Linked DNA regions of Anolis sagrei. The protein of the gene in region 1 interacts with the protein of each later gene in a pairwise test. Links are inferred from orthologs where the notes say so. Each region holds a gene or a part of one and is shown on either strand. Other genes may lie near its edges.

Region 1 (8,215 bases):
ACTTATTATGGTCCTCTGCATAGTGTTATTATTAACGCACACACAACTATTTATCTCAAGGGTATTTAAACTGTGTAAAACCTCCAGCCCCCTCAACAAACAAGCCACAGTACAGAATGTATAGTACAGAATGTATATCCCAGTCTGACCAGCGGAGATTCAAACCCTGCATCTTCCAGAGAAGAGATAACCTTCACTCTTCTTCTCCAAGAGAGCACTGTTGGAGGGGGCCTTTGATTTAGACAAGGAGACCAAGTAGGAGTACACTGCCCAGTGCCATGGAAAGGGGGTTGGTTAAGGGACTGAGACAGAGAATGCTATTCTGCATTCAAGACTGCAGGAAGGAAAGACAGGCTTGGACTGGTGCAACCACATTTGCCAAGGTGCCTTCGGCATGGCCTCCATTTGCTCCTTACCTAACCCTGAAGGTCGGAAATCCCCCTCAGTCTCCAGACTGATCCTGCAGATTGCCCTCACCCGCAAGCCTCAGCATTACTCACCAGGGCTGCTGAGACCTATAATACCCCAGCATTGGGAGGGTCATACAATTCTGCTCTGTCCCAATGGTCACCCACAGGACGTCCAGGCAAAGAACCAGCTCAAAAGTTTCCCTCCTCTCTGGCTTACCCCAGACCTGGAATCCCTCTGCAGCAGCCCAGGCCTTGGACAGGAGTGCCCTTACCCATGCCCTATTTCCCCATTCATACAACTTCTTACAGGCAGAGATACCGCACAGAAAGTCCTTGTCTGTTTCCCCCCAGCACCATGACAATATGCCGCTTCCCCATCCCAAATGCCTGCTATGAAGCAGCCCCAAGTGGATTCTGCCCCCCTTGCTTCTCCCTCCTCCCTAAGGCCCTCTTGCAGGAGAGGGATCCTCCTCCCTTCTGCCAAGGCACCACAAGTCTCCCTGCCTGCCTCTGCTGGGTGCCATGCTCTGCCCACTCCCTCCATCCCCCTCCAAGAGGCTGCTTTGCTCCTCCAGGTGAAGACCACTTGCTGCATCCTGGAATCTCCGTATTCTATTGAGGCATGCACAAAGCCTTAAGGAAGCCATGTGCCTCCCCCTCAAAGTATGTCACCCCCATCCTTTTCCTCCCAACACCGTAAAGATCCCAGGTCAAGGTTAACGCTGGATTGGTCAAACATTTTTCGAGGATGACAGCCCATCCTCCTCTAACAAAATATTCTCCCTCCTTTTGGGAAGGGACGCCTCAGCTCACCTTTTCCCCACTCCCCAGGCAGCAACCCCAAAGCCCCCCTCCCCACCTGAGCCCTACCTCTACTTCCTACCTCCCTTGTCAAACCAGAGGGGTTTCTGATGCAATGTTGAGAAGGGAGGAAAGGGGGAAGCCAGGAGGCGGGCGTTCCCCATTCTTTGTACAGTGGTCCGATTCGGGTGGTGGAGGGATGGGGGGCAGACATCAATAAAAGGAAAAGACCTTTATTTTTAATCCTGCACTTCCTCTGGGTCCTCCTTTTGCCCAGCATTCTCTCTTGTTTTTTTCTGATTTTGTGATTGCCTTGGGATCCTGGGCAGAAAGCCCCTTACAAGAAAAGGCTCCTTTCATACAATCCCCAGATCCCTCCTTTTTGCTCCCCCCTCTCGCCAAACAGAATTTTCAGCCACAATGAGAGTTGGTTAATACGTTTCCTATTATTATTATTATTGCTGTTATTATAGCTGCCACTAGAGCACAAGTGACCCTTCTCCTGCCGAGGGAGAAAGAGAGACACAGGTGGAGGGGGCAGTTCAAATATTAACAATAACAATAACAACAATGTCATCATCATAGTAATAAAAAATAGAGAACATAAAATACACTATCATATCTTATCATAAAAAGAATATAAAATAGACTATATAATAGAAATACAAAATAAAAAAATGTAAAATATAATAACAGTATCATATAATAAAATAATATCACATAATATAACAAAACAAAAATATAAAATAGAACAAAAAGAATATAAAAGATAATAATTTAATAAAAATACAAAATAAAAAGGTATTAATATAATACAGACATAAAATAGAAACAAATACAAACTAGAATACAATAACAATATCATATAATATAAAATAATATGACATAGTAATATAACATAAAAATATTAAAAAGAATAAAATATAAAATATAACAATATCATATAAGAAAATATATCATAATTATAGATAATAGTGATATATATATATATATATATAACGCAATATGGATAATATAATATAAATTAAAAAAAATAAAACACAAAATGAAATAAAAATATAAATAAATTATTAAATATTAAATCAGAACAGAATACCATATAACATCAAATAAAAATACAAAGAAGAGACAATAAGACATTAAAGACATTAATGAGAATATAAAGCAAGACTAAAATAACACGATCGAAAATAAAACGGTGGAGGGATCGAAAAAGAACCCAAGCCGTGCTCGTGGGACCTCTTGGGAGTCGGTCCCTTTTGCTGAGAAGGAAGCAGGCGCCCATTTGCTCAGGGCCCTTCTACACAGCCCTACAACCTAGAATATCAAGGCAGAGAATGCCACAATTTCTTGTTTGAACTGGGTTATCTAAGTCCACACGGCCATATATTCCAGTTCAAAGCAGACACGGTGGGATTTGATTCAGCTGTGGGGAAGGGGCCTCCGTGGCGGAAAGAGGAGCGCGAGCGAGAGAGGTCGGCCGGTCACAAGACTGCGGCGGCGGCGCCTCAATAATACACTCAACGCAGGCTACCGAAGAGTTGCCTTCTCCTCCTCCTCCTCCCCCTCCGGATTCCTCTCATGGCGCAGGAAAGGGGCGGAGGGGCTGAGGCGACCCCACCCCAAGGAAGGGCCCGGCTCGGGGCCCAGGCCGCTTGGCTCCAAAGTCTGGGGGAGGGACAACGCGAGGGCGGGGAGGGGAGGTAAGAGGGGAAGGCCTCACCTGCCGAGGGCGGCGCGGCCTGCTCCTCCGCCGAGGCCTGCTCCGCCGGGGGCTTTCCTTCCCCCGCTGCCGCCCGCCGAGCCTTGTGGCGGGGGAGGAGGTGGGGGGGGAGGCGGAGGCGGGCTGGGTGCCGCTTGTTGCTGTTGTTGCTGCTGCTGCTGAGGAGGCGGCGGCGAAGGCGCGGGGGACGCTGCTCCAGTTGCCGAAGCTGGCGTGGTGATACTCTGCTTGAGGGCCATGGCCGGTCTCCCTTGCTCTGCCCGCCTCCTCCTCTTTCTTCTTCTCCTCAGAGGAGGGGGAGGAGCCTCTGGCCTGCTTTTGGGCGGGAAAGAAGAAGAAAGCGAAGAAAGACGCTCCGCCCCCTCCAGCATGGCCCCTCCCTCCTCCGCCGCTTTCGTCGCCTCAGCCGGGCAGGGGCCCCGCTTCCGGGTCACGTGAACTCCCCTCCCTCCCTCGAGGAGAAAGGCAGCGCATGCGTGGAGCCTGCAACTGGCTTTGCGGGTTGGGGGGGTCTCCCATGCACACAAGCGTCTTCCACATAGCTGGATAAAATTCCCCCATTCTCTGCTTTGTACTGGGTTATTTGGCAGTGTGGACTCAGATAACACAGGGCCCTTCCACACAGCCTTGTATCACAGAATATCAAGGCAGATAATCCCACATTATCTGAGTGTGGACTCAGATAACCCAGTTCAAAGCAGATATTGTGGGATTTACTGCCTTGATATTCTGGGATATAGGGCTGTGTGGAAGGGCCCTTAGATAACCCAGAGCACTTCCACACAGCCATATAACCCAGAATATCAAGTCAGATAATCCACAATATCTGTTTTGGACTGGGTTATTTGAATCCACACTGCCATATAATCCAGTTCAATGTCGATTTTATTCAGCTGTGTGGGAGGGGCCTCGAATAACTCAGGCCCCTTCCATAGCTGGATAAAATGTACCTTGAACTGGATGATCTGGCAGTGTGGACTCAGATAACCCAGTCCAAAACAGATATTGTGGATTATCTGCCTTGATATTCTGGGTTATATGAGTGTGTGGAAGGGCCCTGAGTCCACACTACCATATCATCCAGTTCAAGGTGGATTTTGTCAAGCTGTGGAAGGGGCCTAACTGCACCTCCTGACACCAAAAAGTCTCTGCTGCCCAATGTCATGCACAAAGAAAGTGGCCAAAAGTGTCCTCTTTGTCATGCTGCCATTTGAGTTGCTGCCTGCTTCTTTCAAAACAAACGGGTTACAATACCAAAGCTTCCAGCAATGGGAAAAAAAACCTTGGGGCATCTATGCTGTAGAATAGATCACTTTATGTAGCCCCAAAAGATTAGCATTCGATCTGGGTAAATACGGAATATCTATATCTAATCTAGATTTAACCCACTGAGCCCCCGGTGGCTCAGTGGGTTAAAGCACTGAGCTGCTGAGCTTGTTGATCGAAAGGTCGTAGGTTCAATTCCGGGGAGCGGCGTGAGCTTCCGCTGTCAGCCCTAGCTTCTGCCAACCTAGCAGTTCGAAAACATGCAAATGTGAGTAGATCAATAGGTACCGCTCCGGCGGGAAGGTAACGGCGCTCCATGCAGTCATGCTGGCCACATGACCTTGGAGTGTCTACGGACAACGCTGGCTCTTCGGCTTAGAAATGGAGATGAGCACCACACCCCAGAGTCAGACATGACTGGACTTAATGTCAGGGGACTACCTTTACCTTTAATCTAGATCTACTTACGGACCCACCACCAAGACTCTCCCCCACACATACACATTTAGGATTTATTCATATTGTTATTAATTTTATAAGTTTAATAGATTTAACAAATGTCTAATAAATAATCAAGAAAAGTGGTGGTGGTGGTGAGAGCAGTTAAGGAACCTTTAAAACATTGTATGGTATTACATTCAGATTTTCATCTCTATTACCCTAACATTCATTGTTTAAACTACTAAACTGTTTGGAAAGTCTATAAGCTCTTCCACACAGCCCTCTAACACCAAGGCAGAAAATCCCACATTATCTGAATGTAGACTCAGAAAACCCAGTTCAAAGCAGATATTGTGCGATTTTCTGCCATGATATCCTGGGATATAGGCTGTGTGGAAGAGCCCACAGCCCTATAACACAGAATATCAAGGCAGAAAATCCCACAATATCTGCTTTGAACTGGGTTATCTGACTTCACACTGCCATATATTCTAGTTCAAAGCAGACAAGGTGGGATTTGATTCAGCCTTGGTATCTTCCATATACTAGAGCAGCGTTTCTCATCCTGGGGGGGTCACAAGGGGATGTTAGAGGGGTCACCAAAAACTCTAAGAAAACACAGTATTTTCTGTTGGCCATGGGAGTTCTGTGGGGGAAGTTTGGCCCAATTCTATCAGTGCTCTTTGATTTTAGGTGACCTATAAATCCAAGCAACTACAACTCCCAAATTTCAAAGTTTGTTTTCCACAAACTCGACCAGTGTTCACATTTGGACATACTGAGTATTTGTGTCAAGTTTAGTCCAGCTCTATCATTGTTTGAATCCACAGTGCTCTCTGGATGTAGGCGACTACAACTCCAAACTCAAGGTCAATACCCACCAAACCCTTCCAGTATTTTCTGTTGGTCATGGGAGTTCTGTGTGCCAAGTTTGGTCCAATGCCATCTTTGGTGGAGTTCAGAATGCTTTGATGGTAGGTTAACTATAAATCCCAGCAACTACAACTCCCAAATGACAACCCCCCCCCCCTCCTGACCCCACCAGTATTCAAATTTGGGTATATTGGGCATTTGTGCCATATTAGGTCCATTTAATGAAAATACATCCTGCATATCAGATATTTACATTACAATCCATTACAGAAGCAAAATTAGTTATGAATTAGCAACAAAAATAATTTTATGTTTGGGGGTCGCGGCATTAGGAAGTTTGAGACACACTGTAATAGAGAGTTCTTACTGTCCTTGAAACCTAATAACCATGTCTTTTTATGCTGGATCTTTGATTCCAGTTAGTTATCCTTTCCTTTTCTGCTTGAAGATTTTTCTTGGATGTTTCTGTTAGTTTTGTTTCCAAACTGTTCTTTGAAAGCTATAACTTAAGTCTATCTGTTAGTAGATTAGTATTGTATATTCTTATCTCTCTATCTTTCTATCTGTCTGTCTGTCTGTCTGTCTGTCTGTCTATCTATCTATCTATCTATCTATCTATCTATCTATCTATCTATACACATAATAAAAGTTAAAATATGTATGTGTGTGTGGCTGGGGTGTCTACTGACACAGACAGGCTCCTGCTTCCACAATAATAATAGTAATAATGATTATACTTTATTTATATTCCACTCTATCTCCCCATAGGGACTCAGGGCTTATATAGCTCCCACTGCTCAGGAAATACCAAAGCCCCCCCCCCCCCCCCAGTGACATTGCAGGTTATAGTGAGCGCCATGAACATGCACAAGAGCCCTGCTAATGTCCTCCACAAACACCATACTGCCCACCACCCAAGTGAAGGCTTTCAATCCTTGATTTCATGCGTTTCCTCCACCGCAGACATCCCAGATTTCTGACTCTCTCCATCGGTGTGGAATTTGCATGATCCCGCCCACTGCCTCTTCCTTAACCCTTTCCTATTCTTTTCTATGGCATACAGCAAACAGAGGAATTGATCAGCAACTGAACATACTAGAGAGGTTTGGGGAGAACTCACTATGATTCATAGGAATTGTAGGTCCTGGGATGTATAGTTCACCTGCACTCTAAGAGCAGTCTGAACTCCACCAGTGATGGACCTGGAACTAACTTGGCACACAGAACCCCCATGATCACAAAAACATACTGGAGGTCTTTGGAGGGATTTATAGGAGTTGTAGTTCACCTACATCCAGAGAGCACTATGAACCCAAACAATGATGGATCTAGACCAAACTTGGCATGCATACCCAATATGCCCAAATTGGAATACTGGTGGGTTGTGAGGGGAATTGGCCTGGACATTTTGGAGTTGGAGGTACTGGAATTCATAGTTCACCTGCAATCAAGGATATAGAATTGGACCAAACTCCACAGAGGCTCCATGACCAGATACTGGAGGTCTGTGGGGGAAATTCACCTTGATTTGGGGGAGTTGTCATTCACCTACATCCAGAAAGCACTGTGAACCCAAAAACTGATGGATCTGGACCAAACTTGGCACACATATCTGATATACCAAAATTTGATTACTGCAAGGTTTTGGAGGAAACTGACCTTCCCTTCTGGGAGTTGTAGTTAACCCACAACCAGAGAAACTCTGACCTTCACCGATGATGGATCTGGACCAAACTTGACACACCCCTTGACTAACTCGGCCTACTGGAGAGGTTTGAGGGGACTGACTCAACATAGTGGGAGCTGTAGTTTACCCTGCAGCCAGAGAGCACACTGAACCTTACTGATGATGCATCCAGAGCAAATTTGCCCAACACAACCAAACCAACTTGAAGTACTGATGGAGGTTCTTAGGGTTAACCTGGCATGATGTGAGTTGTAGTTCAGCCACAACCTTATGCATTTTGTACAATTAAAATGCCCTCAATGTTTTGTTTTGTAAGATAATTGTTAGTGTTATTTTTCTGTTTATATGTTTTGAATTTAGAAGTTAAGGGAAGTTAATGCCTCTAGACCAGGGGTCAGGAACCTTCGGCCCTCCAGGTGTGGTGGACTTCAACTCCCACAATTCCTTGAGGCTCGGCATTCGCCCCAAAGGCTTACCTTGGCCTCAAGGAATTGTGGGAGTTGAAGTCCACCACACCTGGAGGGCCGAAGGTTCCCCATGCCTGCTCTAGACCATGGCCATACAGCCCGAAAAAACTTACAACAACCCAGTTAAGGGGAGCATTCAATAGTGAATAATATGTAGTTTCAAATGAACCTAGAGATGTTTAATCTTCCAAACAGACTTTTTCTCCATTTTATGTGGTCTTCAAATATGAAAGGTAGAGTGATTTTTGTAAAAACTTGTTTAGATTTGTGTTCTGTGTGAAGAAATGAGAAGTATGTGATTTTCAATGCAAATTTCATAAAATAGTTCATTTGCCATTAATGTTAATGGTTCAAAGAATGTCAGGCTGAATTGATCGGCTCCTATGTTAATCTTGCCAAGTCTGACCCTTCTTGCAAAAAATTTGGACACCACTGAGTCAGCCAATATATCTGTCCTCCTACAGACAGACAATTCAGCCAGGCTGGTTGGTAGATTGTGGGCATTACAGTTCAAAAAGCTACTGATGTCAAGTTCCGTTCTTGTCAC
Region 2 (8,305 bases), on another chromosome or scaffold:
GAAAACCTGGGATCAGATCCTAGGATAATGGGCCTGTCTGGAACAGCCCTCATTGTAGAATAAAAAAAAGACTACTAAATCAGATGAAAGGTGCATATGCATTGTAGAATTAATGCAGTTTGATAGCACTTTAACTGCCACAGCTCAATAAGTTGGAATCCTTGGATTTGAAGTCTGGCATAGTACCAGCACTATTTGGTAGAGAAGCCAAAGATTGTGTAAAAATAAACTCCTGTAGTCCAATAGCATTGGGTCGTGGCTATTAAAGAGCTGTCAAACTGCATTAATTCTACAGTATAGGTACACCCTAATACTCCCAGATGAGTTTGCTCATCTGAGAGCAAACTCCACCATAGTCCGTAAGGCCTACTTCAGAATAGGCATGTCCAGGGCTGCATTTTTATTTTTCAGGTTTGAATAAGTGTTACACGAAGATTGCTTTAGGAGAAAGTATAGGTGAATTCTCTTTACTCTTAAAACAAGAGAAAGTGGTTCAATTTGGAACTCTCTGCCCTGGAGTGTGGTGGAGGCTCCTTCTTTGGAGGCTATTAAACAGAGGCTGGATGGCCGTCTGTCGGGAGTGCTTTGAATGCAATTTTCCTGCTTCTTGGCAGGGAGTTGGACTGAATGGCCCACAAGGTCTCTTCCAACTCAATGATTCTTTGATTCTATATTGCCTGTAACAAGAGCATATCTACATTTCCAATTATATTTTGTGATGCCTTCTTGGAAAGTCTATTTGTCAAGGGCTGCTGCACCTGAAAATTATACACGTAATTGTAAACTGCTTTTTCTAAGGTTAACCTTTAGAGGCTTCACTGAAACAAGATATAAATGGATTTTCCCTCCAGAATTCTGTGTTTTCGCTCTCGACAACATTATTTGCAGTGTGCATGTACAGTACATGCGTATGTGAAATGTCATCCTTAAAGTTTGCTTCTCTTTATTGCATTCAATGAAGTAACTCCAAAGACCCTCACAAAAGCAAACTACTTTTTGAAATGAAGCTACCCTGAAATGAAATCGTCCTGGATAGCAATATTTGGGGGGAGGTGGACAGAATATTAACAAAAATAACAAGAAGCAATGATTTATTGCATTTCAGCTGGATAAAACACTTTGTGTTTGATCAAAAATAATAAATGGTATCTTTATTGACACAACCCTAGTCCTCTTGATGGCTGCCTCTCAATTCTGGGACTCCCCATTGCCATGTAGTTGAAAGGCTAAACTGTCTTTATTCCCACAGGCTATTAAAACAGCAGGCTTTTAAAGACTGGACCAAGTGGTGTGGTGTCATTTTAAATGTACTATTTTAATAGCTTTTTAATATTTTCAATTGCCTTTTATTCGTTTATCTAGAAATTTGAAAAATTTTAATATTATGACTACTTTAATTCTGTTTTCATGGTTACTTTTGGTATGTTTTCAACTACAATGCTCTTTTAAACTATAAGCCACCTTGAGTCCTAGTTCTGGGAAGAAGACAGGATAAAAACAAATAAGTAGTCTCTGAGGGACCTTCCACACAGTCCTCTATCCCAGAATATCAAGGCAGAAAATCCCACATTATCTAAGTGTGGAGTCAGATAACAGTTCAAAGCAGATAATGTGGGATTTTATACCTTGATATTCTGGAATAGAGGACTGTGTGGAAGGGCCCTCAGTTGCTTAAACCCATGGGGATTGTTAGATACCAGAATAACGCAGTTTCTGGTTGCTTGAGGGTTTAATGAAAAATCGGCCTCTTACTATACCCCATACTATACCATTGCATAAATTCTGTATTGTCTATTATTATTATTGAAAAGCAGTAATTAAACCTCAATTAAGGGCCCTTCCACACACCCTAGATCCCAGAATATCAAGGCAGAAAATCCTACAATATCTGAGTATGGACTCAGATAACCCAGTTCAAAGCAGATATTGTGGGATTTTCTGTCTTGATATTCTGGGGGGCCTTCCATACAGCACCTTTATTGCGGTATCTACTGGAATAAAGGAGGGGCTGTCCAGACAATGTCTGGACAGTCCCAAATTAATTCCCTACAAACCAGGAAAACCTTGTTTTGTAACAAATTAATTTAGTAGTGGATTTATTCCACGCTTTCTTGGAAGGCGTGGGATAAATCCATTATTTCCAGGTCTGGACTGCAAAATACTGCAGTCCAGACAGTATTCCCACAGTTTACTGGGCTATATAAGCCCAGTAAACTGTGGGAATACCCCCCCCCCCATGCGCTTTCTGGTGTGGTTGTCCAGATGTTCCCTTGGGCGCCCTCCTCTCCTCCCCCCAAATCCCCAGACCCCTTAGAAAAGAAATAAAAACTTTTGTGCCCTCCATTACAAGAGTCAGCCAGCTCTCCCGGTGCATACAATGACATGCCAGGAGAGTGTGTGTGTTTGTGTGTGGGAGAGCTATCCCCCCCCCCCCCCCCGGTGCATTATTTCTCCTGGCATGGCGAGGCTTGTAATGGCTTTCTGGGGTGGGTGTGGACAGGCCCCCAGAAACATCCATGTTTGGGATAAAGGCCTGACTGGATCCGGCCTGGGATATAGGGCTGTGTAAAAGGGCCCTTAGACAAATAAAAACAAAACTAATGTAATATTTCCACCAAAAGCAGCCAAGCGCCTCTCCTCTAGAGTAAGAAACAGAGAACTTGCCTCCTTGCTTTGGAAAGAGTGCTGTCTTCTCTTCTCCAAGCGAAATATACTCTGCTCCCCAAGTCATTTCTCATAAGGCTTTTTTTCCTGACTTTTAATCGTCTTGGTCATTTTTATTTGGGCATCTTCCAACTTGTCAATATCCTTTTCGAATTGCGGTGCCCAGAACTGAACACAGGTGAATTTGGACCAAAGCAGAACAGAATGGTACTACAACTTCCCTTGATCTGAATGCTATGCTGTTGTTTGAGATAGCATTGCCCGTTTTTGGCTGCCACATCATACAGTTGACTCATGTTTAGACCCTTAGATCCTTTTTGCTTGTACTGTTATCAAGCCAGGTATCACCCATACAATATATGGGCACTTCATTTTTCCTGCCTACATGTAATCCCTTAAATTACTCCATGTTGAAATTCATTTTGTTAGTTTTGACTCAGCTTTCTAATCAGCCAATGACATTTTGTTGAATATGTTATTATTATTATTATTATTATTATTATTATTATTATTATTATTATTTCTTCATGCAAGGAAACATCCTGCAAGGAAAAAAACATGGAAGAGCTACACTTAAGAAATGACAAAGACAGAAAAAGATAACATATAAAGAACTTTATTTTGAGAGGCCATACATATATATAACCCTTCCCTCCTCTCTTCTAATGACATTGTACACTTCTGATAACCAAATAATATCAATTTTCAAAATAGTTATCAAATCATTTTTGTCTTTCCACAAAAAGTGTGTCAAGGGCTTCCAATCATTTGCAAATCACCCTAATGATTTTCCCTAATCAAGCCACATAATTCATCTCTAGCAGGTCATTCAGTGTAAAGGACATTTTGGATTCTTGTCCTCTGGGGTATTAGCCACCCCTTCCTAATTTGGCATTATCTGCAAATTTGCTAAGGATGACTTCTACTCCATCATCCAAGTCATTGATAAAGATGTTGAATATGAAATAGTGCTCTATTTCATATTGCTCTCCATCCCTAACTTTGTCATATGGCTTTGTACTTTATCCATCAACTCTGTCCTCACAACTTATTTGCACCTGTCTGCCCACCCGAGAACAGAAGTGTTTATTACTCAAACCACTGGTTTTTTTTTGCTTGATGGTTGTTTTATATTGTGTTGAGTTGTTGTTTGTTTTATATTGCTTTATGACTTTGTTTTATGCATTTTATTGTGCTATATTTTAACTATGTTGATCGGGTTTGTCCCCATGTAAGCCGCCCTGAGTCCCTTCGGAGAGATGGAGGCGGGATACAAAAATAAAGTTATTATTATACTGACACAAAAACACAGTATGTCACAGCAAATGAGATCTCTGTGCTGGATTTCGTATCACAAAATCACAAGTTGAACACTTCCCAAGCGTCTAGGACTGTGTGATGTATTTTTGAATGATGCGTGCAGATCCAAGTAAGGTGGCCTTTTGCAGTTGACAGATTGTGATTTTGTCAATGTTTATTGTTTCCAAATGCTGGCCGAGATCTTTTGGCACGGCACCCAGTGTGCCGATGACCACTGGGACCACCTGTACTGGTCTATGCCAGAGCCATTTCAGTTTGATTTTGAGGTCCTGTTGTTTTTCCTCCATGCAACTGTCACCTGGTATAGCAACATTGAAAATCCAAACATTTTTCCTTTCCATAATCGTGATGTCTGGTGTATTGTGTTCCAAAACTTTGTCAGTCTGGATTATTATTATTATTATTATGACCCCCAGTGATGCAGTGGATTAAAGTGCTGAGCTGCTGAACTTGCTGACGGAAAGGTCACAGGTTCAGATTTGGGGAGCAGCGTGAGCTCCCATTGTTAGCCCCAGCTTCTGCCAACTTAGCAGTTCAAAACATGTAAATTTGAGTAGATCAATAGGTACTGCTCTGGCGGGAAGATAACAGCACTCCATGCAGTCATGCTGGCCACATGACCTTGGAGGTGTCTACGGACAACACCGGCTCTTGGGCTTAATGGAGATGAGCACCAACCCCCAGAGTCGGATGTGACTGGATTTAATGTCAGGAGAAAACCTTTCTCTTTAGCTTTACCTTACATCAGGTATATCTGGACAATATGGATTTATTTCCAAACATTCCTACCAAGTTTTAGGACCAGAGCAGTCCTGGTCACTCCGGTGGAAGATACTGGGAAAAGGAACAGGAGGGAGTATAACTCTTTCCATTCTTCCACAGTCAATAAAGCTGCTTACCATGTCCTCTCATTGCCAGAGAGGCTGCTTTGAAGCTCTTTGCTTGACCCAAAAGAGAGAGGGGGGTGGCTGTCCCTTTAAGAGGCAGGGCTGCCTGTCTCTGACGTCAGGCGCGCGCTCTCTCTCTGCATCAGAGCATCCCCGCTCAAGCAGGAGGAGGGCAAGAGGGAGGCTGGCACCAGAAGGGACCTTTCCCGCTCCTCCGGCATCCCTCCATCTCTCTCTCTCTCTCTCTCGCTCTCCTTCCACCTACAGCAGAGATGTCTGTGGCGGGGCTCAAGAAGCAGTTCCACAAAGCCACTCAGGTAAGGAAGCCAAGGAGGAAGGGAAGCGGGAGGGAGAGCGGGAGGGAGGGAGGAGAAGCAGCCTTGGGGGCATCCTCCTCGGGTCAAAGGAGGGCGAAGCGCCTTCCTCCCTCTGGTCTGGACAATCTCCTCCTCCTCCTCCTCCTCCTCTCAACACACGCACTCTAGGCTCCGAGGGGCCAGGAGGGGGCGCTCTCCTTCGTAGCCGGGGAAGAGAGCCCGAGCTGGTGTGCGCGTGTGTGTTGCTAGGTTGGGAGTGCGTGCCTTGGCATTAGCCATAGATTCATGGATTGCATGGCGTTTCAAGGCGTCTTCGGAGGTGGTTTGGGCATCTCCTTCTTCTGGGCTCCCATTGGCAGCGCTTCTGGGCTTGGGGAAGGGCCTGGATGGGGGATTCTGGGAGTGACAGTCCCCCCAGAAGGCACCTTTGCTCAGCAGAGCCGGCTTGGGGGGTGGGGGTGGGGATTCTGTGATTGACAGGCGTTCAAGACAGCTTTCTTTAGCATAGCTGGAGGGACGATTCGAGGTGGTTTTGGCATCTCCTTCTTCTGGGCTCCAATTCACAGCGCTTCTGGGCTTGGGGAAGGATCTTTTGGAAGTACTGGATGGGGCATTCTGGGAGCGACAGTCCCCCAAAAGGCACCTTTGCTTAGCAAAGCTGGCTAGGGGAGAATTGTGTGATTGACAGTCCCTAAAGACAGCTTTCCTTCACATAGCGGGATGGACGATTCAGGGATTGGGTTGCTGTGAGTTTTCCAAGCTGCATGGCTATGTCCCAGAAGCATTCTTTCCTGATGTTTCGCCCACATCTATGGCAGGCATCCTCTGAGGTTGTGAGGTCTGTTGGAAACAAGGCAAGGGAGGTTGACATATCTGTGGAATAATGTCCCAGGTGAGAGAAAGGACTCTTGTCTGTTGGAGGCCAAGGTGAATTTTGCAATTGGACACCTTAGATTAGCATTGAATAGCCTTGCAGCTTCAAAGCTTGGGAGGTTGATATATATGTGGAAATTCCAGGGTGGGAGAAAGAACTGTTGCCTGTTACAATTGAGCATCTGGATTAGCATTGAATAGCCTTGCAGCTTCAAAGCTTGGGAGGTTGATTCATCTGTGGAATAATGTCCAAGGTGGGAAAAAGAACTCTTACCTGCTGGAGGCAAGTGTGAATGTTGCAGTTGATCACCCTAATTAGCATTGAATAGCCTTGCAGCTTCAAAGCCTGACTGCTTCCTGCCTGGGGGAACCCTTTGTTCGGAGGTGTTAGCTGTCTTCAGAGTGTTCTTTATTTACTGTCATGATTTTAAGAGATTGAGGGATTGACAATCCCTTTCCCCCCATTTGAACTTGATAGTAGATTGACAGTCCCAAAAAGCATTTTGGAGGGATCTGCAGATTGCAGCGTCTGGAGCAAAGAGATCAAGGGTGCATCTAATTAGGCAAGGTGTCTTGGGAGGTTGTTTTGGCATCTCCTTCTGGTCTCCAGTTGACAGCACTTCTGGGCTTGGGGAAGGGTCTTTTGGAAATGCTGGATGGGGGATTTTGGGAGTGACAGTCCCCAGAAAGGCACCTTTGCTTAGCAGAGCCGGCTTTGGGGGGGGGGGGATTCTGTGATTGACAGTCCCTAAAGACAGCTTTCCTTAGCATATCTGGAGGGGCGATACAGAGATTTACACTCAGTCCCTTTTCTCTATTATAGCTGGATAGATTGACAGTCCCAAAAGCAGTATTGGGAAGCTCCAGATTGCAACATCTGGGGCAAAGAGACCAAGAGTGGGTTGCTGTAAGTTTTTCGAGCTGTATGGCCATGTTCCAGAAGCATTCTCTCCTGACATTTCACCTGCATCTATGGCAGGCAGCCTCAGAGGGGACCTCACAACCTCTGAGGATGCCTGCCATAGATGCAGGCGAAACGTCAGGAGAGAATGCTTCTAGAACATAGCCATAGAGCCCGAAAAGCTTACAGCAACCCAGTGATTCCGGCCATGCAAGCCCTTGACAACACATTGAAGAAGGGTGCATCTTGCCTGGTAGAATGAATGCAGTGTGATCCCAATGGCTCAATGCTATAGAAGCCTGGGAGTTGTACAGGCTCTTTATTTTAGCCTCCTTTACCAAAGAAGGGCTTCTGCCTCCTCAAATCGCCATAATTGTAGTTTGGTGCCCGACTGCATGGGTTCTAGAGCATAAGGGGTTTCTTGGAGGGGTTGTCTTCGGCCAGGGAGACTCGAGAGGTGCCTCTTGCCCTTGCCTTGCTCTGGAGTCGGTCTCAGATCCGAGCAGGCAGAGCTGAAGCAGGGAAGGCACTGTGTCAGGGCAAGGCTGGCATCCCTTTGGCAGGGAGGGAGGCCTCTCCTTTCCTGCGCCAGGCTGCCTTCCGCAGGATCTGGACCGCGTCCCGGGTCGGAGACTTTTGCCGCAGAAACCCAGGGAGGGGGCACCGCATTGCCACCCCTTCCACACACAGCAAGGAGCCCGACCTGGTTACTCCCCTTTTCAGCATGTCTCTACCCTTCCTTGTGGCTTGGTTCAGCCTGGGACTCCCTTTCTCCCTCTCTCCTGCTGATCTTTCCTTGCATTGGAGCTCCCTCGCCATTGCGGCTCTTTACGGGGAGATTGGGGGGAGGGCTTCCTCCTCTCCCAAATCAGATGGAAATATTTCCAGACCTCCGCCAACTCTCTCCCTCCCCCCTTCCCAATTGTCCTGGATGATTATGTAAAAGTCCTCCTCCAATGACCTTCCTTCTAGTGATACCTACATAGATATAGATAGAGATACTCGGGAGCTGGGCTTTCCTCTCCTAAATAGTCCATTCCTTCTGGCTCTTGAGTCCAAATAGCCCAGGCATGGGCAAACTTGGGCCTTCCTCCTGGTGTTTTGGACTCCAGCTCCCACAATTCCTAACAACCTCAGGCCCTTTCCTCTCCCCTTCTCCCCGCCAGCCGCTTAATCAGGCTTGAGGCTGTTAGGAATGGTGGGAGTTGGAGTCCAAAACACCTGGAGGAAGGCCCAAGTTTGCCCACGCCTTTCCCCCCTCAGCTTAAGCAGCTGAGGGGGAAAAGGAAGGTGCCTGAGGCTGTTAGGAATGGTGGGAGTTGTAGTTCAAAATACCTAGAGGA
Region 3 (7,486 bases), on another chromosome or scaffold:
AGTCTCATGCTCAGGGTTCAGAGTCCATATATCCATTCCATTCCATTTGTCCTTGTCTATCATCAGATCCTTCAGTTAGCTGTCAGAATGACCAAAGGCTTGATCCCAGACCCAGGTCTTCAGTTTTTTCCTAAATGCCAAGAGGGAAGATGACGATCTAATCTCCCCGGGGAGTGAGTTCCACAGGTGGGGGCCACCACTGAGAAGGCCCTGATCCTCGTCCCCGCCAGCCTCACTTGTGACAGTGGCGGAGTCGAGAGCAGGGCCTCCCCAGAAGATCTTAAGCTTCGAGATGGGACGTAGAGGGAGATCCGTTCGGACAGATACACTGGGCCGGAACCGTATAGGGTTTTGTAGGTCAAAACCAGCACTTTGAATTGCGCTCGGAATTGGATCGGCAGCCAGTGGAGCTGGCGCAACAGGGGGGTGGTATGCTCCCTGTACGTCGCTCCGGTGAGCAATCTGGCTGCTTCTCGCTGGACTAGTTGTAGTTTCCAAGCAGTCTTCAAAGGCAACCCCACGTAGAGTGCGTTGCAGTAATCCAACCAGGATGTTGAAGTCCAAAACACGTGGAGGGCCCAAGTTTGTCCATGCCTGGCCTACACTGACCACATAATGCAGTTTCAGTGTAGATGGGGCAAATGGGACCTGAACAGCCTGAGAGATAATAATAATAATAATAATAATAATAATAATAATAAACTTTATTCATACCCAGGGGCGGCTCGTCCATTACACGAAGTAAGTGGTTGCAGAACACTTTTTTTGCCAGGGGCGCAGAGCCGCCTCTGTAAATGCCCCTCGACCACCACTCAGCTCACAACAGCCCACTCAGCTCACAATGCCCCTCGAGCACCCCTCAGCTCACAACAGCCCTAGCAGTCCGGGGGGAGCCTCGGCTTTCTTGCCTCGCTGCTGGGCGATCCTCTTCCCTAAGGGGCTGGACCCTTGAGCCTCGCCAAGCCCCTCTCGTTCCTGCTCCACCCGGCCACCGGGTGCGCAAGCAGAGCCAGCGCTCAATTGTTCTCCACGTTCGATCCCTTCCCCATGACCGGCTCCCTTTCCCGATCCCCCAGCGCTCCACCTGCCTCCTCTCCCCTCCCCAATCCACGGGTGGGCCAAGGGGACGAGCCGCCGCGCCTGGCCCACTTCAGGTCCGGAGGCGTGTCTGAAGACCCCAGCGTGCGCACCAAAAGTAGCCTCTTCTCCTGACTTTCTCTTCAGCCATTGGGACCAAGAGAGAGAGAGAGAGAGACCCTCCGGCTGGAGGTATCTCCCACATCCGCTCCCTCCTTTGTTTTTGCACCTACCTTCAGGAAAGGCGGGCATCTCCACCTCTCTCTTTCTCTCTCTCTCTCTCTCTCGGTCCCAATGGCTGAGGAGAAAGTCAGGAGAAGAGGTGACTTTTGGTGCACACGCCGGGGTCTTCAGGCACGCCTCCGGACCCAAAGTGGGCCAGGCAAGGGAGCAAGTGCGGCAAGTGTAGTTCCTGGGATGTATAGTTCACCTACAATCAAAGAGCATTCTGAACTCCACCAATGATGGAACTGAACCAAATATGGCACACAGAACTCCCACGACAAACAGAAAATATATATCAATGATTGGTTGGGGGGGGGGTGCCAAAATACTGTTTGCTTACCGTTGAAAATTACCTAGGGCCGCCTCTGTTCATACCCTACCCCCATCTCGCCAAGGAGACTCGGGGCGGCTTACATGAGCCCAAGCCCAGCAAAACAATACATCAGTATAAACAGAATATAGCAATAAATAAAATGTAAGTAAATAAAAATACAACACAAAAAAACCCATTATAAATAACACATCAACAATACAAAATCACAAATCAACCACTATGGGCAGAGATGTTGCAACAGAAGTAAGATGGACAGGGCTGAGGAAGTGGTACCTTTGCTGGATATCACACAGGAAAATTCCAGAGAATTCTGCAATCACAGCTTTTAGGCTTATTTTGAGGTAGTGTATTAAACACACAACTATTTGCAACCCTCCACGATTGGCAACATAGTGATTCTCAAACTCCTGCGTGTATTAAACCTCAACTTCCAGAAGCCACCTTGGCCAAGGGTCAGAGATTCTGGGAGGGCAAGGATTTGGGAATCAATGGGCTAGACTCCAGTGGTTCTCAACCTTCCTAATGCCGCGACCCCTTAGTACAGTTCCTCACGTTGTGGTGACTCCCAACCATAACATTTTCATTGCTACTTCATAACTATAATTTTGCTACCGTTATGAACCGTAATGTAAATATCTGATATGCAGGATGTATTTTCAAATCCCAAATACCCAATATGCCCAAATTTGAATACTGGTGGGGTTGTGGGGGGGGGGGGAGATTGATTTTGTCATTTGGGAGCTGTAGTGGCTGGGGTTTATAGTTCACCTACAATCAAAGAGCATTCTGAACACCACTAATGATGAAATTGAACCCAATTTGGTACACAGAACTCCCATGACCAAGAGAAAACACTGGGAGGATCTGGTGGACATTGACTTTGAATTTTTGGAGTTGTAGTTCACCTACATCCAGAGAGCACTGTGGACTCAAACAGTGATGGATCTGGACCAAACAGGGCACGAATATTCAATATGCTGAAATGTGAACACTGGAGGAGTTTGAGAAAAACAGACCTTGACATTTGGGAATTGTAGTTACTGGGATTTATAGTTCACCTACAATGAAATAACATTCTGAACCCCAACAACGATAGAATGATTGGGGTGATTTGAATGCAATATTCCTGCTTCTTGGCAGAATGGGGTTGGACTGGATGGCCCATGAGGTCTCTTCCAACTCTTTGATTCTATGATTCTATGAGAATCCTATGTTTTCTGATGGTCTTTGGCGACCCCTCTGACACCCCCTCGCGACCCCCACAGGTGTCCCGACCCCCAGGTTGAGAAACACTGGGCTTGAGAAATATCTGTTGAGTTGGGCAACTCTTCCCCAGCCAGTAGCCAGCAATGACCCTCTTGCCTCAATTCACCCTCCTGATTTGCAAACCCTGGAAAGGCTGCAGGTGTCCTCCTACCCAAAGTCCCAAACCATATTATGTTCCTCTTACCTGGCTGGCCTTATGGAACTGCTTCTTGAGCCCTGCCACCGACATGCCAGCTTTGCCCCCAGGGCGCAATCTGAGTTTTCCAGCCAACAGAAACAAAGGGTTAAATGGCCAATGCCCAGGTCCAGAGGAGGATTGGATGCTGTGCCAAGGCCAGGCTCCAAGAGAGAGAAGGCAGCTCAGCTGGAAGGACCACTGCCTTCCGAACACGCTCCACGCCTGCCCTCCCATTGGCTACGGCGCGTTCGATTCAGATCAGCTCGCCCAGCGATTGGTCCCTTGGAGGGAGTTATGCAAAAATCAGAACCCTCAAGACGCCAACGTTCTGTTTTGGTTTGCAGACAAAGCCAGAGAGAGGAGGAGGAAGGAGCACGTCGGAAAGCAAAGGAGATGCGGGCACAACAAAGACGAGGGGTTGTTTGTTTTTACCCGCAAATGCTAAGGCAATGCCAATCTTCTATATAAATAAAAATGTAATATTCGTTTGTGGGATTAACAGAACTCAAAAACTACTGGACGAATTGGCACCAAATTTGGACACAAGACACCTAACAACCCAATGTATGTCCTTCACTCAAAAAATTGATTTTGTCATTTGGGAGTTGTAGTTGCTGGGACTTATAGTTCACCTACAGTCAAAGAGCATTCTGAACTCCAACAATGATGCAATTGAATCAATCTTGGGACACAGAACTCCCATGACCAACAGAAAATACTAAAAGGGTTTGGTGGGCATTGACCTTGTGTTTGGGAATTGTAGTTCACCTACATCCAGAGAGCACTGTGAACTCAAACAATGATGGATCTGGACCAAACTTTGCACAAATATTCCATTTGCCCATATATGAACACAGATAGATTTTGGGGGAAATAGACCTTGACATCTGGGAGTTGTAGTTACTGGGATTTACAATTCACCTACAATCAAAGAGCGTTCTGAACCCAACCAACAACAGAATTGGGGTAAACTTCCCGCACGGAACCCCCATGACCAACAGAAAATACTTAAGGTCATCCAGTCCAACTCCCTTCACCAGGACAAGAAAATGTAATCAAAGCCCTCCTGATAAAGAGCCATCCAGCTCTTTGATATGATTCACACACAGAGAGATATAGTATCATAGATCTGAAAGGGACCCCTAAAGAAGGACAATTATATGATGCATATTCCAGAGTAGGAAAACCAGACAATCTTTACATCAACACTGCCAAAAATCAATGAGAAATTCTGTTTACCCACAAGCGTAAAGAAATTACATCTATTAGAAACCAACACTTTATCATTACTTTATTTTCCAGATCGCAAGACTGGGCCACAGCAACGTGTGGCAGGGTCAGCTAGTTCTTAATATTCCGAAATATCATACAGCCGGGTTGCTGTGAGTTTTCCGGTCTTTATGGTTATGTTCCAGAAGCATTCTCTCCTGACGTTTCGCCCACATCTATGGCAGGGCATCCTCAGAGGTTGTGCAGTCTGTTGGAAACTAGGCAAGTGAGGTTTATATATCTGTGGAATGTCAAGGGTGGGAGAAAGAACTCTTTGTTTGTTGGAAGCAAGTGTGGATGTTGCAATTGGCCACCTTGATTATCATTGAATGGCTTTGCAACTTCAAAGCCTGGCTGCTTCCTGCCTGTGGGAATCCTTTGTTGGGATTCATCAATACAGAATTCAGGCCATGAAATCCTTTGACAATATCAGAGCCTTTACTTTGGCCCATTTTAACATGTTGTCTAACTTTAATAATGTGAATGATATCATTTTAATGTCCACCTTTTGAAGGTTTTAAGCTGTATTGTTCCTGAATTAAACCGTAAAACATCCTAAGACACATTTGGAAAAAAATATTTAGAAAGAATTAGAAGAAAATGAGATGCCACTACAAGTTGGTTATTCCTTATTGGGAATTCTGAAATATGCCAAAATCTAAAATTATGCACATGACAGTGGGTTGTTGTGAGTTTTCCGGGCTGTATGGCCATGTTCCTGAAGCATTCTCTCCTGACGTTTCGCCCACATATTTGGCAGGCATCCTCAGAGGCTGTGAGATGGGCCAAAACTAACAAAATGAAGTTCAACGGGGACAAATGCAAGATACTCCACTTTGGCAGAAAAAATGAAATGCAAAGAGACCGAATGGGGGACAATGATGCCTGGCTTGAGAGCAGTACATGTGAAAAAGATCTTGGAGTCCTCGTGGACAACAAGTTAAACATGAGCCAGGAATGTGATACGGCAGCAAAAAAGCCAATGGGATTTTGGCCTGCATCAATAGGAGCATAGTGTCTAGATCTAGGGAAGTCATGCTCCCCATGCTCTCTTCCGCCTTGGTTAGACCACACCTGGAATATTGTGTCCAATTCTGGGCACCACAATTCAAGAGAGATATTGACAAGCTGGAATGTGTCCAGAGGAGGGCGACTAAAATGATCAAGGGTCTGGAGAACGTGCCCTATGAGGAGCAGCTTAAAGAGCTGGGCATGTTTAGCCTGAAGAAGAGAAGGCTGAGAGGAGATATGATAGCCATGTATAAATATGTGAGAGGAAGTCATAGGGAGGAGGGAGCAAGCTTGTTTTCTGCTGCCCTGGAGACTAGGATGCAGAACAATGGCTTCAAACTACAAGAAAGGAGAACTCATCTGAACATTAGGAAGAACTGCCTCACTGTGAGAGCTGTTCAGCAGTGGAACTCTCTGCCCCGGAGTGTGGTGGAAGCTCCTTCTTTGGAAGCTTTTAAATAGAGGCTGGATGGCCATCTGTCAAGGGTGATTTGAATGCAATATTCCTGCTTCTTGGCAGGGGGTTGGACTGGATGGCCCATGAGGTCTCTTCCAACTCTGATTCTATGATTCTTGATTCTAGAGGTCTGTTGGAAACTAGGCAAGTGAGGTTTATATATCTGTGGAATTGGCCACCTTGATTAGTATTGAATGGCCTTGCAGCTTCAAAGCCTGGCTGCATCCTGCCTGGGAGAATCCTTTGTTGGGATTTAGCAACCCAGTGATTCAGGCCATTAAAATCTTCAACAATACCAGAGCCTTTACTTTGGCCCATTTTAACATGCTGTCTATTGGAAGGGAGATGCTTACAAATCCCCTATGTATAATGCAGTGGTTCCCAACCATTGGTCCTCCAGGTGTTTTGGACTTCAATTCCCAGAAATCCCAGACAGCTATAAGTAATTATGGGAGCTGAAATATATAAACACGTGGAAGACCAAAGGTTGGGAGCCACTGATATAGTATATACACCCCTGCCAACCAGACATGATTGAAACATTGATCTATATCAAGTATGGACAAACTTTGGCCTGCCGGGTGTTTTGGACTTCAACTCCTACCATTCCTAACAGCCAGTAGGGTGTTAGGAGTGGTGGGAGTTGAAGTCCAAAACACCTGGAGGGCCAAATTTTGCTCATGTCTGATCTATATCATGTTATATTGGCCATATGAAATCCAGATTATCTGCATTGAACCGGATTATATGGCAGTGTAGACTCATATAATCCAGTTCAAATAATGTGGATTTTCTGCTTTGATAACCTGGATTATATGGCAGTGTAGAAGGGGTCTCAGATTCTTCCAAACAGTCCATTATGAAAGCTGCCAAAAATAAGCTGGTCAAAGCCAATTGAGGTATGTCTCACTTCCAGTGAATGCTACGGATTTGATACTGGCTGCTGCATTGCCATCCATGCCTATACACAGGAACAGTTCTTCAGGCCCTTCCACGCAGCCCTATATCCCAGAATATCAGGGCAGAAAATCCCACATTATCTGAATGTGGACTCAGGTCCCTTTCAGGTAGGCCTTATAGTCCATTGATTTTGTCATTTGGAAGTTGTAGTTGCTGGGATTTATAGTTCACCTACAATCACAGAGCATTCTGAACTCTACCAACGATGGAATTGAACCAAACTTGGCACACAGATCTTCTATGACCAAGAGAAAATACTGGAAGGGTTTGATGGGCGCTGACCTTGAGTTTTGGAGTTGTAGTTCACCTGTATCCAGAGAGCACTGTGGACTCAAACAATGATGGATCTGGACCAAACTTGGCACAAATAGTATGCCAAATGTGAACACTGGTGGAGTTTGGGGAAAATAGATCATTACATTTGGGAGTTGTAGTTGCTGGGATTTATAGTTCACCTACAATCAAAGAGCATTCTGAACTCTACCAATGATGGAATTGAACCAAACTTGGCACACAGAACTCCCATGACCAACAGAAAACACTGGAAGGTTTTGGTGGGCATAGACCTTGAGTTTTGGAGTTATAGTTCACTTACATCCGGAGAGCACTGGGGACTCAAACAGTGATGGATCTGGACCAAACTTGGAACAAATACTCAGTATGCCCAAATGTGAACACTGGTGGTATTTGAGAAAAATAGATTGTGACA

Evidence for each region.
Region 2: the proteins of ATXN2 (region 1) and SH3GL2 interact in binary tests that used the Homo sapiens proteins (3 or more experiments, as listed by UniProt). The link is inferred for Anolis sagrei from reciprocal best matches to the Homo sapiens genes ATXN2 and SH3GL2.
Region 3: the proteins of ATXN2 (region 1) and SH3GL3 interact in binary tests that used the Homo sapiens proteins (3 or more experiments, as listed by UniProt). The link is inferred for Anolis sagrei from reciprocal best matches to the Homo sapiens genes ATXN2 and SH3GL3.

What each region holds. Positions count from the first base shown.
Region 1 is NC_090034.1:30,793,149-30,801,363, reverse strand, and holds the start of ATXN2 (ataxin-2), read right to left. Parts: upstream 3,250-8,215; 5' UTR 3,174-3,249; coding exon 2,935-3,173; intron 1-2,934. UniProt on the Homo sapiens protein: Involved in EGFR trafficking, acting as negative regulator of endocytic EGFR internalization at the plasma membrane.
Region 2 is NC_090022.1:212,488,613-212,496,917, reverse strand, and holds the start of SH3GL2 (endophilin-A1), read left to right. Parts: upstream 1-4,993; 5' UTR 4,994-5,143; coding exon 5,144-5,188; intron 5,189-8,305. UniProt on the Homo sapiens protein: Implicated in synaptic vesicle endocytosis. May recruit other proteins to membranes with high curvature. Required for BDNF-dependent dendrite outgrowth.
Region 3 is NC_090029.1:32,892,336-32,899,821, reverse strand, and holds the start of SH3GL3 (endophilin-A3), read right to left. Parts: upstream 3,313-7,486; 5' UTR 3,132-3,312; coding exon 3,087-3,131; intron 1-3,086. UniProt on the Homo sapiens protein: Implicated in endocytosis. May recruit other proteins to membranes with high curvature.